3 linked regions of the Caenorhabditis elegans genome follow. The protein of the gene in region 1 interacts with the protein of each later gene in a pairwise test. Each region holds a gene or a part of one and is shown on either strand. Other genes may lie near its edges.

What was found. The genes of interacting proteins can lie anywhere in the genome.
Region 2: the proteins of npp-7 (region 1) and C17E4.2 interact in a two-hybrid assay, tested with the Caenorhabditis elegans proteins (one large-scale study listed by BioGRID).
Region 3: the proteins of npp-7 (region 1) and ima-3 interact in a two-hybrid assay, tested with the Caenorhabditis elegans proteins (one large-scale study listed by BioGRID).

What each region holds. Positions count from the first base shown.
Region 1 is NC_003279.8:5,690,436-5,698,027, forward strand, and holds npp-7 (RanBP2-type domain-containing protein), read left to right. Parts: upstream 1-1,828; 5' UTR 1,829-1,830; coding exon 1,831-2,026; intron 2,027-2,100; coding exon 2,101-2,261; intron 2,262-2,354; coding exon 2,355-2,960; intron 2,961-3,168; coding exon 3,169-3,861; intron 3,862-4,138; coding exon 4,139-5,850; intron 5,851-5,898; coding exon 5,899-6,120; intron 6,121-6,189; coding exon 6,190-6,253; 3' UTR 6,254-7,071; downstream 7,072-7,592. Other genes in the region: Netrin receptor unc-40, read right to left, coding at 703-786, 987-1,005.
Region 2 is NC_003279.8:9,410,622-9,413,772, forward strand, and holds C17E4.2 (Cilia- and flagella-associated protein 157), read left to right. Parts: upstream 1-1,684; 5' UTR 1,685-1,692; coding exon 1,693-2,277; intron 2,278-2,324; coding exon 2,325-2,417; 3' UTR 2,418-2,601; downstream 2,602-3,151. Other genes in the region: C17E4.19 (uncharacterized protein), read left to right, coding at 1-445, 631-744.
Region 3 is NC_003282.8:7,558,191-7,563,594, reverse strand, and holds ima-3 (Importin subunit alpha-3), read left to right. Parts: upstream 1-1,930; 5' UTR 1,931-1,934; coding exon 1,935-2,009; intron 2,010-2,054; coding exon 2,055-2,125; intron 2,126-2,238; coding exon 2,239-2,454; intron 2,455-2,499; coding exon 2,500-3,094; intron 3,095-3,137; coding exon 3,138-3,616; intron 3,617-3,695; coding exon 3,696-3,804; 3' UTR 3,805-4,854; downstream 4,855-5,404. Other genes in the region: F32E10.9 (TPR_REGION domain-containing protein), read left to right, coding at 458-582, 632-797, 885-1,082; nprl-2 (Nitrogen permease regulator 2), read right to left, coding at 4,899-5,022, 5,067-5,404. UniProt on the Caenorhabditis elegans protein: Binds specifically and directly to substrates containing either a simple or bipartite NLS motif. Promotes docking of import substrates to the nuclear envelope. Seems to act as a cytosolic receptor for both simple and bipartite NLS motifs.

The sequences.
Region 1 (7,592 bases):
AATGAACGAATCTGGTGGATTTTGTGTAGAGATTACAATCTTTCGAACATCAAACGCCTAGAGAATCTGGGGAATTGAGCTATCCACTTTTGGTTTGTAGTGAAAAATGCTACAATTTGGCGTCAAGTTTTCTTTAAAGGTGGTACCCACCGTGGGGTAGTGAAATAAGGCCCCGAGTGACGGAATGAGGCTTCTCAAAAGCGGAGTCAAAATTAACTAAAATTTTAATTTTTCCCTAAACCGCCATAATTTAGAAAACGTTCAAGATGTCTCTCTTCTGGGGACAAAAAAATCGCTGCTCCATCTTTAAGGTGTGAAGGAACTAAAAGATTGCTGAACAACTCTGCTAGATCGGAACTCGAAAATTGAGAATAATTTTGAAAGAAGGTTTTTTCAAAGTAAAACCATTAATTCGACGATAAACTAAGTGTTTTATAGGTAAGAGTATTAAAAAAAACGTAACTTTTCTTGGATTTGTATTATTTTTATGGAGTCAATTTTTTTTAAAAATAGCCACAAGGTAGTTCAGTGCCAAGTATTGACTTTAAGATGATTTTTATTTATATTTTTCTATTTTCAAAATTCCATTCTTGAATCGATAAATTATGTTGCCGGTGACTGACACCTTGACAGAATGCCAGATGGTCATCTTCCTTCCCCCATTTTAATATATTTTTGAATTCAAATGTGAAAAACTCTCACCATTATCAATCGATCGACGATGATGTTTCCGTGTTGTGGCATGAGTAGATGACAGATAAACTGTCAGAATTATAAGAATGAAACCTGAAAATTATAAATAGTAATGAAGTTTTATTTAATTTCCTTTTGTTTTCTTTCAGAGGTTCGGGTTTAGATACTTCGTTTACTACGAAATTATAGGATTTTAATTTTATTTGTATCAACACAAAAGTGATAACAACAATATTTAAAACTTTTCCACGGAGAAATTATTAAAATTGATAAGATAAAAAGATGGAACTCACCGAAATGTCGCAAAATCATTTCTACTGAATGAATTAAATAACTTCTGTCGAATTATCGCATTCTATTGGTGATGCAGAGGGTCTGAAATAAATAATGTTTTTATTTACCTTTGGATTTTTTGAACACATTTTTTGAACACAGAAAAAAAGATGGAAAAGAGGTCGTTAAAAATAATTTTGAATAGAAAATAAATATATTTAACGGAAAAAGAGTCAAAAACAGGGTCGAACGTCGTCAAAAGAGCTCCAGAAGTGTCCAGCTGAAGGGGTGTGGCCTTGTGGAATGGACACTCTCTCGTTTCTCTGCACCCTCTTCATGTTGTTAATGGAAGGATAACTGTCTGCACTCTAACCTCTCAAATGTCGTTGAAAGCGTCGCGTATGCGTCGCGTGTGCGCACTCGAAAATTTCTTTTTAATCGTCTTCGCGCCATTTGCGATTTTAAATTCCTTTATTGATTTTTAATGTAATTTACACTTCTTTCCTTCGAAAATTCAATGTTGGTAAAAGGTTTTTTGCCTTAAAAATATATCAAGTTTAATGCTTAATGCTGCGTTTACTGGCGCGGCCTAAATTTAAACATTTACGATTTTGAATGATTTCTGTAGTTTTGACCTGTGTTATCGATCAATAATTCGGAATTTTTACCAAAACATATTAGGTGCATTTGTCATGTTCTTTTGGTACTTCCAGTAGTTCATTTAGGCGTTTCAAAAGTATTTCGAAAAGTGTCGTTTTTGAAGAATTTTATTTTATCGAGAATTTCTGACACGGCGCAGAAAAATTTCTTCAGTCTCTCTCAGCTTTAGTCTCAATTACGAAACAACTTTTTTCTATTTCAGAAATGTCCGATAAATCCGGAGGGTTTTTCTCATCGGTTGGCCGCTTCTTTTCTGTTGGAGCTAGTGCCACTAAAAGCAAAGACGGCGATAAGTCGAATGATGAAGGTACATCCAATTCGTCTTCAAAATCGTCTCCTTCTGCGTCTCCAGCATTGAAAAATATATTATCCGTAGATAATGAAGCTAAAATAGCTTCAGGTAAGTTTAATCACATTGACTTTCATATCAGTACATGGCACTAGAATTTCAACTCATTATTTTTTAAATTCCAGATGAAACTTCAGTGAATACCTCACAAAACCATCGCATCGGATCACGTCTTCGATACCTCAGTCCGACTGCATTGGATCGGCGTACGAGTGCATCCAATGGCTTAGAGATCGATGTGGACGCTGTTCCAGATATTTTCTTCAGCACTCCTGCGGTTTCCACGGTAAATTTTTAAAGTTGTCTTTTTATTAATGTGTTTTCACAGAAAAATTAGATTAAACCTGTTGATAAATGCTATCGAAATATTTTTTTCCAGAATCGCAAACGTCAACTGACAGAGCTCGACAAGCAGATTCTACCACAATCGTTTCGAAGTGAGAGTGTGAAACGAAGTCGATTCCTGAACAGATCATTACTGGAACCAACTCTTAATAGTTCAATGAATAATGAGAGGAAAATGGATATGACTTGGTGTGGAGAGTTAACTGCTAATCATTCTCCTGCTTCATCTATCACAAATTTCTCACTTTTGAGCCGACGAAGTGGAGCAACTACCAACGGGTCATTAAGTACAAGAACTCAAGAAATTTTCAAAAAGCTTGAAGGTGCAAATACACCCGCGAAAGAAGTTCAGAGAATGTCAATGCTTCGAGCTGGCATTGCTCGACCAGAAAAATGGGGATCGTTTAGCGAGAGCAAGGTTCCAAATGGTTCAGCAACTGGCACACCACCACCTCCATTGAAAAAAGCTGGAGACGCAATTCCATCTCGTATACAGCTCATATCAAAGACTATGGGAATGTCCGCTCGACGTGCTCCTTATTGGACGGATTTAACTAGGAAAAGAACATCGTCGAAAAATGGAGACACTGGATCTTCTGATTCAATGAAATCATTGAACGGAAACTTTGCGACTGCAGAGGTAACCTGGATTTTAAACACTTGAAAAAAAATGATACAAGAATTATGAAAAAGTTTTTCTGGTCAAATTTTCTAAAATTAGACACGAGATTATCACAGTCTAGTATTTATTTTTAAACGTTTCATTGGGAAATTTTCAGAAATTATAACAAACTTAAAATTATGATAATTAAATTATTCGACTTTATCTTAACTTTTTTAAATTTCAGCTGAGCTCCTTGTTTTCACTGGACTTACCAGCTCCAAAGAAGACAGCATCAACTGCATCCACGACCACCATAAACTCGTCAAATAGTCGAAAACAACATGCCTCAATTATGAAGGGACCTGATGGGAAACCAGTTAGTAGAAATACGTTCAAACTCTCTGATGACATTGAAGAAGTTGATGAGGATTCACAGAAACTTCCACCAATTCCAACAACAACTCTGCAGAATCCACAACCTCTGAAATTGGCGCCAGAATATGCACCCAAGCGCGGGTTTTTGGACGATCTCGCGTTCTCATTCACAGCTCCAGTTGATTTAGTTACTGCTGTTGGAACTGCAAAAACCGCAAGTACGGCAAGCTCACATAAAGCATCCGAGTCCAGCAGTGAGAGCAATGCAGAATCGACAGAAAAGCAAACATCTGAAAGCAGTGGAAACGAATCAGATTCCGAAGAATCAGAAGACTCAGAAGTAGACGTCGGTGAGGAGAATGGTAGTGAAGTGAAAGAGTCGCGACCACAAACTTCCGCTGACACTATCTCATCTGCCGGAGGATCCAATCAGAGTTCAAAGGATTCGTCTCCAAAAGTTGCCAAAGATGCAGAACCAGTTGTGGTTGCTCCAGCTCCAGTGGTCGATGCTGGTTCTAAAAAATGGGAATGTCAATCGTGTTTCTGTAGTTGGGATTCTACGGTAAGAAATTTTGATGTTGATACGAGAAAACTCTAAACTGGGTCTACTATGTTTTACTTAAAATTAATAACAAAATTTAGTCTACAGTTTTCGTGGGTTTAGGAAAGCGTGCGCGAAATGTTCCATTTTTTCAACTAAAATAATTGAAGTCGTCACGAGTCTCGCTGAAAAGTACATCATGTGTCTTTAGAGCATAGTCTCACATTTTCAGAAAATTGTCAAGTATAAAAATTCATCGGAAAAGAAACTAAGAAATTGACAAATAATTTGTTTTCAGCTATCGGAATGTGGGGCATGTGGGGAAGCACGTCCAGGAGGATCTGGTACTGGTCCAAAAAGTCAACCAAAACCTTCCGAAAAGCAGCTTGTATCAAATCTCAGTAGTTTCGCATCGAATACACCAAGTACTGTCAAGTTCGGATTTGGATCAGGTGCTTCAACGACAACAACTATTGCATCGACAACTTCAAACACAATTCCATTCGGAAGCGGTTCTTCAGTGGCACCACTTTTTGGAGCCCCCAAGACAACTGCTCCACCACCAACAACTGTTCCTGCCACAATTCCAGTAGCCCCTACTACTATCGCATCTGCTCCTGTTGCTGCTGTAACTTCATCCTCCAATGGTACACGTGTTGATTGGGAGTGCCCTGATTGTATGGTTAGCAATAAGGCCAGTGATGATAAATGCCCATGTTGCTCACATGTCAAATATGCATCTGCTGAAGCATCTTCGAATGTTTTTGGTAATCGGGCCTTCAAACCACTTTCTTCCACAGGGTCTACTATTTCATTCGGAGTTGGTGGAAGTACAGCAACCACCCAACCAAGCGCATTTGCATTTGGACTGTCAAAGACAACAGAAGTTGCGCCAACTTCTACTCCAGCCTTTGGGCTTTCGGCGAAACCAGCTGTTTCATCAGCCCCAGTCGAGAAACCATCTGCACCAGAAGTTCCCAAAACAGCTGGATCTCTTTTCGGAAATATCGCCAAACCTGCCGATTCAGCTACCACAAGTTTCTTGGCTCCAGGTGCTGCATCGTCTACAAGTTCTTTGGCGCCAACGGCGGGATCATCATTGTTTGGTGGTTCAACTGGATCTATCTTCAATTTAAACAAAACCAACACGACAGAGACTGCGAAGCCAGGCCTATTCGGATCGATCTTAGATAAGGAAACACATGTCACAACAACTCCTGTCTCTGTTGCTCTTCCATCATCTACAGATTCGACTCAATCAAAATCCGCTATTCCAACAATTGCTCCAACCATGTCATTGTTTGGAAACTCATCTACTGGATCATTCGGTGGATCATCAATGTTCGGCAATTCCAAAACGGAACTTCCAAAGATTTCTTCTACGCTTTCGTTCGGAAATCCAACGACTGCTGCAGCACCAGTGTCCACAGCTACCGCAGAAGCTGTAAAAACTAATGTCTTCGGAAGCAACTCGGCATCAGCATCAACCAGCCTTTTCGGTGCAGGATCCTCGTCCACAGCAACTAATCTGTTTACAACAAAGCCTGCTGATTCGACAACTTCTTCGATTTTCGGAAAGCCGATTTCATTTGGAGACGATTCAGGAACAACCACTACTGACGGGGCACCAGCAAAGCGTGGATTGTTCTCATCCGACTCACAGAAGCTTCAGTTCGGCGGCCAGCAAAAAGTTGAGATGCCAAAGTTTACTGGTTTTGGAAACCCTGCCTCTACTGCCTCAACCACAAGTGGATCACTCTTTGGCGGTGCTTCTACAAATCCACCAATGTTCGGAGGGCCTTCATCCTCAAGCATTCCCGCATTTTCGACATCAAACTCTTCAAGCACTTCAGGTTTTCCTAGCTCTACAGCGACCCCATTCGGAAACGCCGGGACAACATCAACCTCTGGAGTGTTTGGTGCATTTGGAAACAAGCCATCACAACCAGGATTGTCTTCTAGCTCATCTACGAACTCGTTGTTCGGTCAAGCACCTGCTGATTCCTCTAAGTAAGCTTCAACATTTTTTGGTTACTAGAAAACAATTATTATTTTCAGCCCGTTCGGTGGCACGTCCAATAATGGCTTCAACTTTGGTGCATCTAGCAGCACAACCGGCGCCACTGCAGGAGGCGGAGGAGTTTTCCAGTTTGGAAATGCTGCCACCTCAGCTCCAGCTCCGACTGCTGCTCCAGGAGGTGGAGCGTTCCAGTTTGGTGGTAACATGTCAGTTCCACAAGCTCCAGCACCTGGTGGAATGGAAAACGCCTTTTCTTATCAGTAAGTTTCTCTTCCAACTTTAACCAATTAATTCAAAAGTACATAAGTATTAATTGTTATTATTTGCAGAGCTCCGAGTGGTGTCGGCGCCCGAAAAATGGCAATGGCTCGACGCCGTAACATGAGAAAGTAATGGAAAAGTTGTTAATCGACATTCGTCATTTAATCTAGATTATTAGAAATATATTTTGTTGCAATCATACCATTTTTGTTGTTCCCTCTTTCCTTATTGCCCTTAATTAATTGTATGTTTGTTGTGAAGTAGAGAAGAGGAACTGTACAAAACATATCCGTTTTCCCATTTTAAATTTCGCCTCATGTTTATCAAAATTTATTTTCTTTTCCTCGAAACGTTTTTTGGAGTGTCCCCTTCTCTCCACAACAGTCCTCTACATAAAACCCTAGTTATCTTTCTATCCTCATTCCCTTTTTCCCCGGTAGTATTTGTCCCCCGTTCTATATTTAAAAATTATCTACATCTATTAACCCCTCCTCCCATATATACCCATATGTCTCCTATCAAATGATTCTTCCCATTCAAAAGTCTTTAAAAACTGTTATATTCAAAATATAATTCAAATTATTCAAAATTACCATCGGGTTAATACACTTTTCGCTGTGACTGATTTCAAAAATGTTTAGATTACCCGTTATTTTGTTTTCTTTTTTAGACAGCCCCCCCACACATTTCCATTTAATTTTGCTCAAATTCCGAAACACAACTTTCAAGTTTTCAACACCGAGCCTTTTGAGTTCTAGCTAGAGCTACTTCCCCTTTGTTTTCATTTGAATGTTTTCTTTCCGATTTTTTTTTTCAAGAATTAATTTTTAATGGGAAATCTAATTATATCTATTGTTGTTGTGACCACTCCCACCATTTAAAACCCACCACTTGTCTCGTTATGGTATTTCCTAGGTTGGAATCAATAAAGGTGTGAAAATAAAACAAAATTTGAAATGATTGGCTGCACGTCCTGTGTCTCTAGATTAGTACAGAACCTCCTCCCACCTCAATTCAAAAGTAAACAATAAAATTACTTACTTTTTCCACCAACTCTTGGTAAATATGAGTAGGTTATCGATTTTAAGTAGGTAGATAGATAGCTAAATATAAAAAAAAGACGATGACTATTACTAACGATGTTGTAGGAAACAAAAAAGAGATGAAATGAGACCTTGGTCGATTTTCATTTATTCTTCAATTTATCTCCCTCTTTACCGGGGGTCTCTAATTCTTCTTATCTCCGAATGGCTTAATCATATTTGTCGGTAGAGGAATTTATCAGTATGATGACTCGAAGTTATGTTCCCCCAATTGAGGCACTGATGTTCAAAAACACAAGCTCAAAATTGTATCACAATAGTAACAAATACGTGCTACCATAACATTTTCTATCTAGGCGAGACCCATTCGAATAAATTAGTGCGTTTTTGAGTACGAGATGTACATCAGGAAATTGCTTAATTTTGAA
Region 2 (3,151 bases), 3.7 Mb from region 1:
CGAGTGTAAATCTTGCGAAAATCTCGTGGATCATATTAAGGAAGAGATGTTTCACATTGAGGAGCTAAGAAGTGAAATTGAACAACTTGAACAATATATTCGGAATCTTCAAATCAACTTTGAGAAAATTCAAACTGAAAATGAAATTTTGAAGACACAGTTGGAAGAAAAAGAAACGGAAGCTGAGGAAAGTCAACGACTTCTTGATGTAATCCATAAAGATCGTGATGAATGTATTGAAGAAAAAATGAAAGTTTCAAGATTTTATCGAAATGAAATCAAGAAGGTTATAGAAGAAAATGAAGCTCTACGCAAAGAAAACAATAATTTAAAAGATACATATAACAATGAAAATATCGCAAAGATCGGGAAAAATTTGGATAAATTACAAGAAGTTAAGACAGACATTTGCAAAAATAAAATCAAATTGAAAGAGGTTGACAGTGTAAGTTGGTTTTTGTTGTAAATAGAAATTCTATCGATAGATATTCTGGAGTTTGCCATGAAACTTTTATAGTGCCTAATTTTGGAAATTTGTCGAACGGAAGAGATATCGTAAGCAACGGCGTCTTCCATCTTCGTTGCAAATTTTTTATTTTCAAATTCCTCTATTCAATTGTTTCATTTCAGATCACAACGAATGCATCCGTAACTATAAAAAATCAGAAGATTGAATTATGTGAAATGGAGAAGAATGAGGATGAACTGTTTGAAACCTTCGAGTATATCGAGATAGACCAGTAGCATGGAATTCAAAGTTATTCGTTTTGAATTGCTAAATTCAATTTTTTTATTCAATTGTTATCAGAAGCTGTATAAATTAAAGAATTTATGATAGTTTAAAATAAGAACTGATGGCACGAGGAGAATATCATTATGACATGTCTTAAATTCAACTATTTAAATTTATTCATATTTATATTATATGTAATTCACCTAACTCTTGAATTTGATACCACATAGTTAATCAAAAAGTATATACATCTACCTATTTCAATTGTATTCGATTGTGGACAATATCGTATGACTTCCATACTGTCGAAAATGCCTACTTGGTCTTACCCGTTGTTTCACAACAGGTCTCTTTCAAGATGATGTTCCATGTCGTACTGAAAACTGATTCAATTTTTATTTTCCAGCAAAATATAAAAGTTCATGAAGCCCCAAAAAAGTCACTGATTGTCATTTATGGACAAACAATACATAACTTATGCCTTTGATTAGTTAAATTTTTATTTTGCTCGAGATACTCCCCCTTCAGATGTTTTTCCATTTTATAAATTGTATTAATCCCAGTAATTTACTATCACTCAATACTCTTTTTTTTTACAAGATATTGGTTCTTCTATTGCCCTTCTATTGCCCAATTGGCTCAAATGGCTCCTCAATACAAGGTCAGCTCATCGATTTCAGACAAATAACACAGTACAATTAGCACCTGGAGGCAGACAATGGAAGATAATACTTCCCAAAAGAAAGCTGACTTTTGGGAAAGGGGAGTACGGTAAGACAATGTTGAAACGCCTAGAAACCCGCTGGAATTATAGATATTTATTATTGTCTGAGAAGGACAGCTGTTTTTTCTCCAAGGTAGGCCTAAGGCCCGATTCTCCAAGATAATTGCTCCTGTTTTGTTTGAATTTCGTCCTTCACCGTACATAGTTTTTTTTCAAAATTAAGTTTCGTTTCCAGATGAATCCCAAAATCTCTGTCTACGAAAATTCCTCCAACACTTTGGAGCTGACCCAACTAAAAGCAGAAAACGAATTTCTGAAGCATGAGCTCGTGGAGCAACGAAACATTTTCGAGTCAATGCTCGGAAAAGAAAAGTTTGACTTGACTTTGGAGATCATGCTTTTGAAGAATCAGGTCGAGGAATCGTTCAAGGAAAAGAAGATGATTTTGGCTTTTTTTGATGAAAAGGACAGCGAGAAGGAGCAAATGGTTTTGAAATTTACCAGAGAAATTGATGAGCTCAAGGAAATCATCGAAGACAGTGTTTCGGATAAATTGGACTACAATGAAGAGACAAAAGCATGTCATTCGGAAATTGAAAGACTTGAAGATGAATTGAAAAACCGCAAGAGGGATCTTAGACGAAGTGCACGAGAAATGAAAGCAATGGAATCTCAAAAAGATTATTTGATGACAGAGTGTGTACAGCAAAAGCAGGCGATGAAACGATTGGAATCTAAAAATCAAAAGCTTTTGGATCATATGACAGCAACTAGTGAAGGATATCAAAGATTGTCAAGAAACAATGAAAATCTTCTGAAGGTTAGTTCTTGCGATCTTGTCATTTTCAATATTAAGTCAACTTTCAGACGAATGCATTGTTGAATGAAATGATCGGCAGATTCATGGCTCGAGATCAACGACAAGTTCAGGAAGAGGAAACTAGTGTTCTGAAAAAGTGATTTCTGAAGAACGTTCACAACAGCTTGCTCATCGCCCTTCATCGACTGTCAGACCAACTTCCTTTTGTAGTTTTCTAGTTCTTCCATCTCCCTGTAACTCCATCGATCATTCATGTCATCTCATCATTGTAATAATTCAATTTTCTAGAAATCCCTTTCCAGATAAATAAATGAATTAAACCGTATTTTATTGTGTATCTGAAAATGTCGAAACAAGCAGAACGTCATGTGCATTTCGATATCTAACGACTTTGATCTGCCTATTGTTGCAGGTGTTTTTTAAGAGCACCTAGATAACCAATAGGCCCACTACTCGATCGACAGAGTCAATAAAACGTATTGCAGTGGGAACAATTCTAAGAGGTCATTCACATTGTCCCCCAATCGGTGCTAACTATATATTTCAACTGCTACGTATAGCAGTAAAGAACATCGCCTTAATTTTTATCTATCATACACTGGCAGCCTGCCAAAAATGTTTTTTGGAAAATGATTAACCAAAACTTTGACTGAATTTTTTTTCAAAAATCTAAAACAAGTGTAAAGAGGCTAAATTTCTACTGAAAAGCGTTAATTCTTCTCTTCTTTTCTCCTTTTGTCTCTCCTGGAGAGCGTAAATACATAAAAAATTAATTTGAATTAATTTTTTCATTAAGGAAACCAACATCCTATACGACTGTATTCTTATTCCTGAAAAATTCACTGTCTCATCAAAAAAACCACAACTCTCAACC
Region 3 (5,404 bases), on another chromosome or scaffold:
TGCATCATTTTTTGGTAAATCCTGTTTTGAACTGCATTCTGTTTTGGTGGGGCCTCGAGACCACAGCTTTACATGGAGGCTTAGCCCATGCACCAAGTGAAGAGCTAGTCATCAATGCATCTAGACTGGAAGGATCCATCGCTTCCCGAGTAAAGTTGCTTGTGATCAAAGGTGTCAGTGTCCCCTAAAAATTACAAAAACGGGACAACGGGAATTCCCGTTCCCGTGAAAATTTTTAAAACGGGACAACGGGAATTCCCGTTTCCGCGAAAACACCCAAAAAACGGGACAACGGGACATCCCGTTCCCGTGAAAATGACAAAAACGGGACAGCGGGAATTCCCGTTCCCGTGAAAATTTTAAAAACGGGACAACGGGAATTCCCGTTCCCGTGAAAACACCCCAAAAACGGGACAACGGGACAAACGGAACACGGGAATTGACATCCTTGCTTGTGATGGGATTGGAATCGGACAAAATCAAATGCAAGGTCGCAATCATGGCTGAAATTAAGAGTAGAGGGAATCTGAAAAGCTCCCGAAAAATTTTTGAATCAGCTGCAGCAAAATTTCCGAACTGCCAGTAAGACAACATTTTTTAATCAATTTTTTTGAAACTGACTTACTTTCAGAGCTATAATAACCGGACGAGTCATTGTAGAAGAGAACGCAAATCGCGGTGCTGAGGCTGAAAAGCTTACCCGTGATTTTATCACCAAAAATACTGACGTCAGCGGAGATGAGTTGATAAAATTTATCAACTACATGGAGACCTACGATTCCAAGTTTGGTTTAAAGGTAAGCCTGTAAAACACTGAAAAATGTTAAACGAATTATATTATAACTATATTCTTCGCAATAGTGATTCAAATTGAACCATTTCAGGCTGCAATTCAAGTTGCAAAGGACAATCTTCCATGGGCCGGCGAAGAGAACATAGACCAATGGGTCAACTGGGTCAACCTACTGATTAGTCTGAAAAGTTTCAAAAGTTCCAAACTTTTCTGTGAACACGGCATGCCAGCAGCGTTGGGGAGTGTATCTTTTCTTAAGTTTTTCAATAGATCTTTGCGAAAACTGTAACAGGATCGACACTGACCGAAGCAGATCAGGTGTTCTCCTGGATCCAGGAACACAACAAGAAATTGCGGGAAAAGACGGCTAATGTAAGTTTTTCGGACTAGAAAATACTCCTGGTTTTTTGTTCAAAAGTATTATATCAAATGCATTTGATGCAAATGCAAATGCAAATGTAACCATAAATATCATTATTTTTCAGGTGGTGCAGGATGAGAGCGGCGACGAGTAGGATGCAATCACAAAATTTATTGCTTTATAATTTTTATAAAATCCGCTGTTATTAATATTGTAAAGAATGTTGAGTAAATAAATTTATTATTTAAAATTTTTTGTTAAAAGAGCTTGGTACCCAAATGTATTTAAAATTGCCATATTTTGAAACCATTTGAAGCGAAGTTTGACATTTTAATCAGACATTGTTTTTTGTTCTTAATATCTTTAACATTTACACGTTTTCCTTTTTTTAAAGAAGATCCATCCAAAAACTCCGGAGCTTCTTTTCCCTAGTTTTAAAATCTACGAGTGAGACCTCTTATCTGCCAATACGCTCTATTGTGTGCGTTGCGTGTCAACCGCGACGCTTCTGCGACATATTTTGTCTCGTTATCGACTATAATTTTTCCCCAATCCTACTGAAATCTTTCCATCTTACATGTAATTCATTGGATTTTATTTAAAAATTTCTGTTAAAGTTTCTCAATATCGCTCTTTTCTTATTTTAAATAATTAAGCTGTAATCTTAGATACTTTTTGTGTTGCGAAATCTCTGATAGAAAGTTCCGCAGTTTTTAAACGTTTTTTGTTGCTTTTTACTTGCGCTACTATTCATTTATCAAGTTTTTTTCTTTCAGCAGAATGAGTTCAAACAGACAGGCTTATTATAAGAACAATGCCAAAGAGCAAATTGGCAAGGAAAAAAGGAACGAAGAAGTAAGTTCGATAAACTTGTTAACGCATACATTATTCAATTTTAAGGTGGTTTCGATCAGAAAGGATAAACGAGAGGAGGCAATTTCCAAACGGCGTAATATCAATACCCAAATTGAGTGAGTTTTTCATCTGATTTTATATGCTTCAGCTATGAGAGCTAACAAAAGTGTTTCATACGCTTATCACAGTAAATTATCTGTTCCAGTTTTTGAATTGTTTTAATTTTCAGAGATGATTCTGAGACTTCAACAACCCCACCAGGTCCATTTGATGCCAACCTCCTCCGGTTGACAGTCGCTGCTGCCCAATCGAGCGATCCCGCTGAGCAGCTGACTGCTGTTCAACAAGCCCGTAAAATGCTATCAACTGATAGAAATCCACCAATTGATGACTTGATTGGCAGTGGGATTTTGCCTGTCCTCGTTCAATGCTTGTCCAGCACGGAGTAAGAATTTTCATAAGGTCGCATCAAATTACTGTAAATTTTCAGTCCAAACTTGCAATTTGAAGCTGCATGGGCCCTTACCAACATAGCATCTGGTACATCAGAGCAAACACAAGCCGTCGTGAATGCCGGAGCCGTTCCTCTCTTCCTGCAACTCCTGTCATGTGGAAATCTGAACGTTTGCGAGCAATCTGTCTGGGCTCTTGGTAACATCATTGGAGATGGACCACATTTCCGTGATTATTGTCTCGAACTCGGAATTCTCCAGCCACTATTGCAGTTCATTAACCCGGAGATACCTATTGGCTTCTTGAGAAATGTCACATGGGTTATTGTCAATCTCTGCAGGTGCAAAGATCCGGCACCAAGCCCAGCTGTGGTTCGTACGATTCTTCCCGCCCTCTCACTTTTGATCCATCACCAAGACACCAACATCCTCATAGACACCGTTTGGGCCCTTTCTTACCTCACCGACGGTGGAAATGAACACATTCAAATGGTTATCGAAGCTCAAGTTGTTACCCATCTCGTTCCACTCCTTGGACACGTTGATGTTAAAGTTCAAACAGCAGCACTTCGAGCTGTAGGAAATATTGTGACTGGAACCGACGAACAAACACAACTTGTGTTGGATAGCGGAGTAAAAATTTTCATTTATGACTTTTCCAAATCTTAAATTTCAGGTTCTTCGGTTTATGCCAGGACTTCTCGCCCACTACAAAGAGAAAATAAACAAAGAGGCTGTTTGGTTTGTCTCCAACATAACTGCTGGAAACCAACAACAAGTTCAAGACGTATTCGACGCCGGAATCATGCCAATGATTATTCATCTTCTTGATCGAGGAGATTTCCCAACTCAAAAAGAGGCAGCGTGGGCTATTTCCAACGTTACAATCTCTGGCCGTCCAAATCAAGTTGAGCAAATGGTAAAGCTTGGTGTCCTTCGTCCTTTCTGTGCGATGCTCAGTTGCACTGATTCGCAGATTATCCAAGTAGTGCTTGATGGAATTAACAACATTCTGAAAATGGCTGGAGAAGCTGCCGAACAGGTGACATCAGAGATTGAAGAGTGCGGAGGTCTTGACAAGATAGAAAATCTTCAAAATCATGAAAACGAGGACATTTACAAACTGGCTTTCGAAATTATCGATAACTTCTTCAGGTAGGAGTCCAATTATATTTGATAAAAATCTTCAGAGTCCGTGTGCGAATGTTTGGTGTATACGTTTTTATATTTTCAGTTCCGATGATGAGACTGGCAACGTGGAAGGAGCTCAAAGTTCTGCTTTTGGAGGCGACGTTCCACCAGTTCCTGATGCTCCAAACGGAGGATGGAACTTTGGAAAGTAGATCTCCATGATTCCTTTAATCACAAAATACGTTTTGTCTTATTTCTCGTAAACAATTTCGCATGCCGTTCCCATACAAATGTTCATGTAGTTTTCGTCTTACTATTTTTCACACCTCACTTTTTGTTAGGTTCTCGTGTATTTTCATCTGACACGCGAGTTCCTAAGCCAGCTTCTCGGAAATGCAAGCTCTCTTTCATGTGAGATTTTGCACTTTTTGACCAATTGAGTTTGCACGTTCTTCTACAATCGATTGTCAATTATCTCATCCTTTCTTTATCTCTTCGTTGTTTCTGTACCATCAGTGATTTGATTAACATTTCACTTTTTCATCCACCATCTTTTTTCCATTGTGATTAATTAGTTACAATGTCCCCGCCCTCTTCTTCGTGTGTGCGAGAGTGACTGTTTTATGATAATATATTTCGATTTCTTTTTAAAGTGAGTGTGTGAGTTGTGCATTTTTGTTGAGTTTTGTTTTCATTTTTGTTTCCCATTCGCGCCCGTTCATTGCCCGCGTCCCCCACCCTCATCCTTTTATCATTGTTACCGCGTCGTTTTCAAATCTCTCATCATTTTTCCCAGTCCCTCCAATCCCCACGGTCCCCAGATTTTCTCTCTAAAAGCGAGTATTTTCATTTTCTTCACATGTTACTTTTATTAATTCTTTATCATATACATAATTTCAATTTCTTAGAACTTCTGATCCCCCTAGTTTGCTCATTTCCTAGTCATCCATCATCATTCTCGATTTCATTAGTTCTCGGAGAATCTCGTTGATAGGCCAAAAATTCCAATCACCCTGCTCCTCTTAGTTCTCGTGGACTCCAGTATTCTTTTTCTTGAAACCCCACCCATCCCGTAAGGCCTTTTTAAAGGTATATCGAGCCGTCCCTCTTCTCATCATCCATCTTCTTTTCTCATTTTCCCTCTCATCTTCCTCATCCCATTTTCCTTTCTCCCGTTTTGCTATTCTCGATTGTCTCGACTGACTGGCCAATATTCCCTTTACCTGGTGTGTGCTCTCATAATAAATAAATCAAATTTATTTGTTAAAAGTTGTTGTAAAACGAAACAATAATACACGATTTTCATTTATTTCATGACAAACTCAAATTTTCCGGTTTCTTCCAACAGTGAGCAAAGTTGTTCGGGGTCCACATTATGTTGAAGAGAAAGTTCGTCAATTGAAGTTTTTCCATTACACCGTTTCAGGAGACTTAAAATTGTATATTATTAGATAGTATTAATTGATTAACTTACGTGTTGTTGCCTGGGTTTGCAACACAAATAGGATATTTAGAAAGTTTACGAAGAAACTGATGATGCATTCCAAATTGTACAAGTCGCTGTTCATCAATACCCATCGATCTTGGTTTCTCCAGATCGGCCCATTCTGCTAGATTGTTGCCGCACTGAAAACGTAGTCGATTGCTATCAGATTCGTCGATCGGAAGTTTAGGTCCCACCACTTTCATGCTCAAATAAAGTCGGAACACATCCGAAAATTCTGGAGTTCGCGTTGGAATTTCTGAGCCGTCTGCACCGATTTCCGTTTGAATTTTCACAAACTCAAGGCAGTCATTGATTTCCGTTTGATT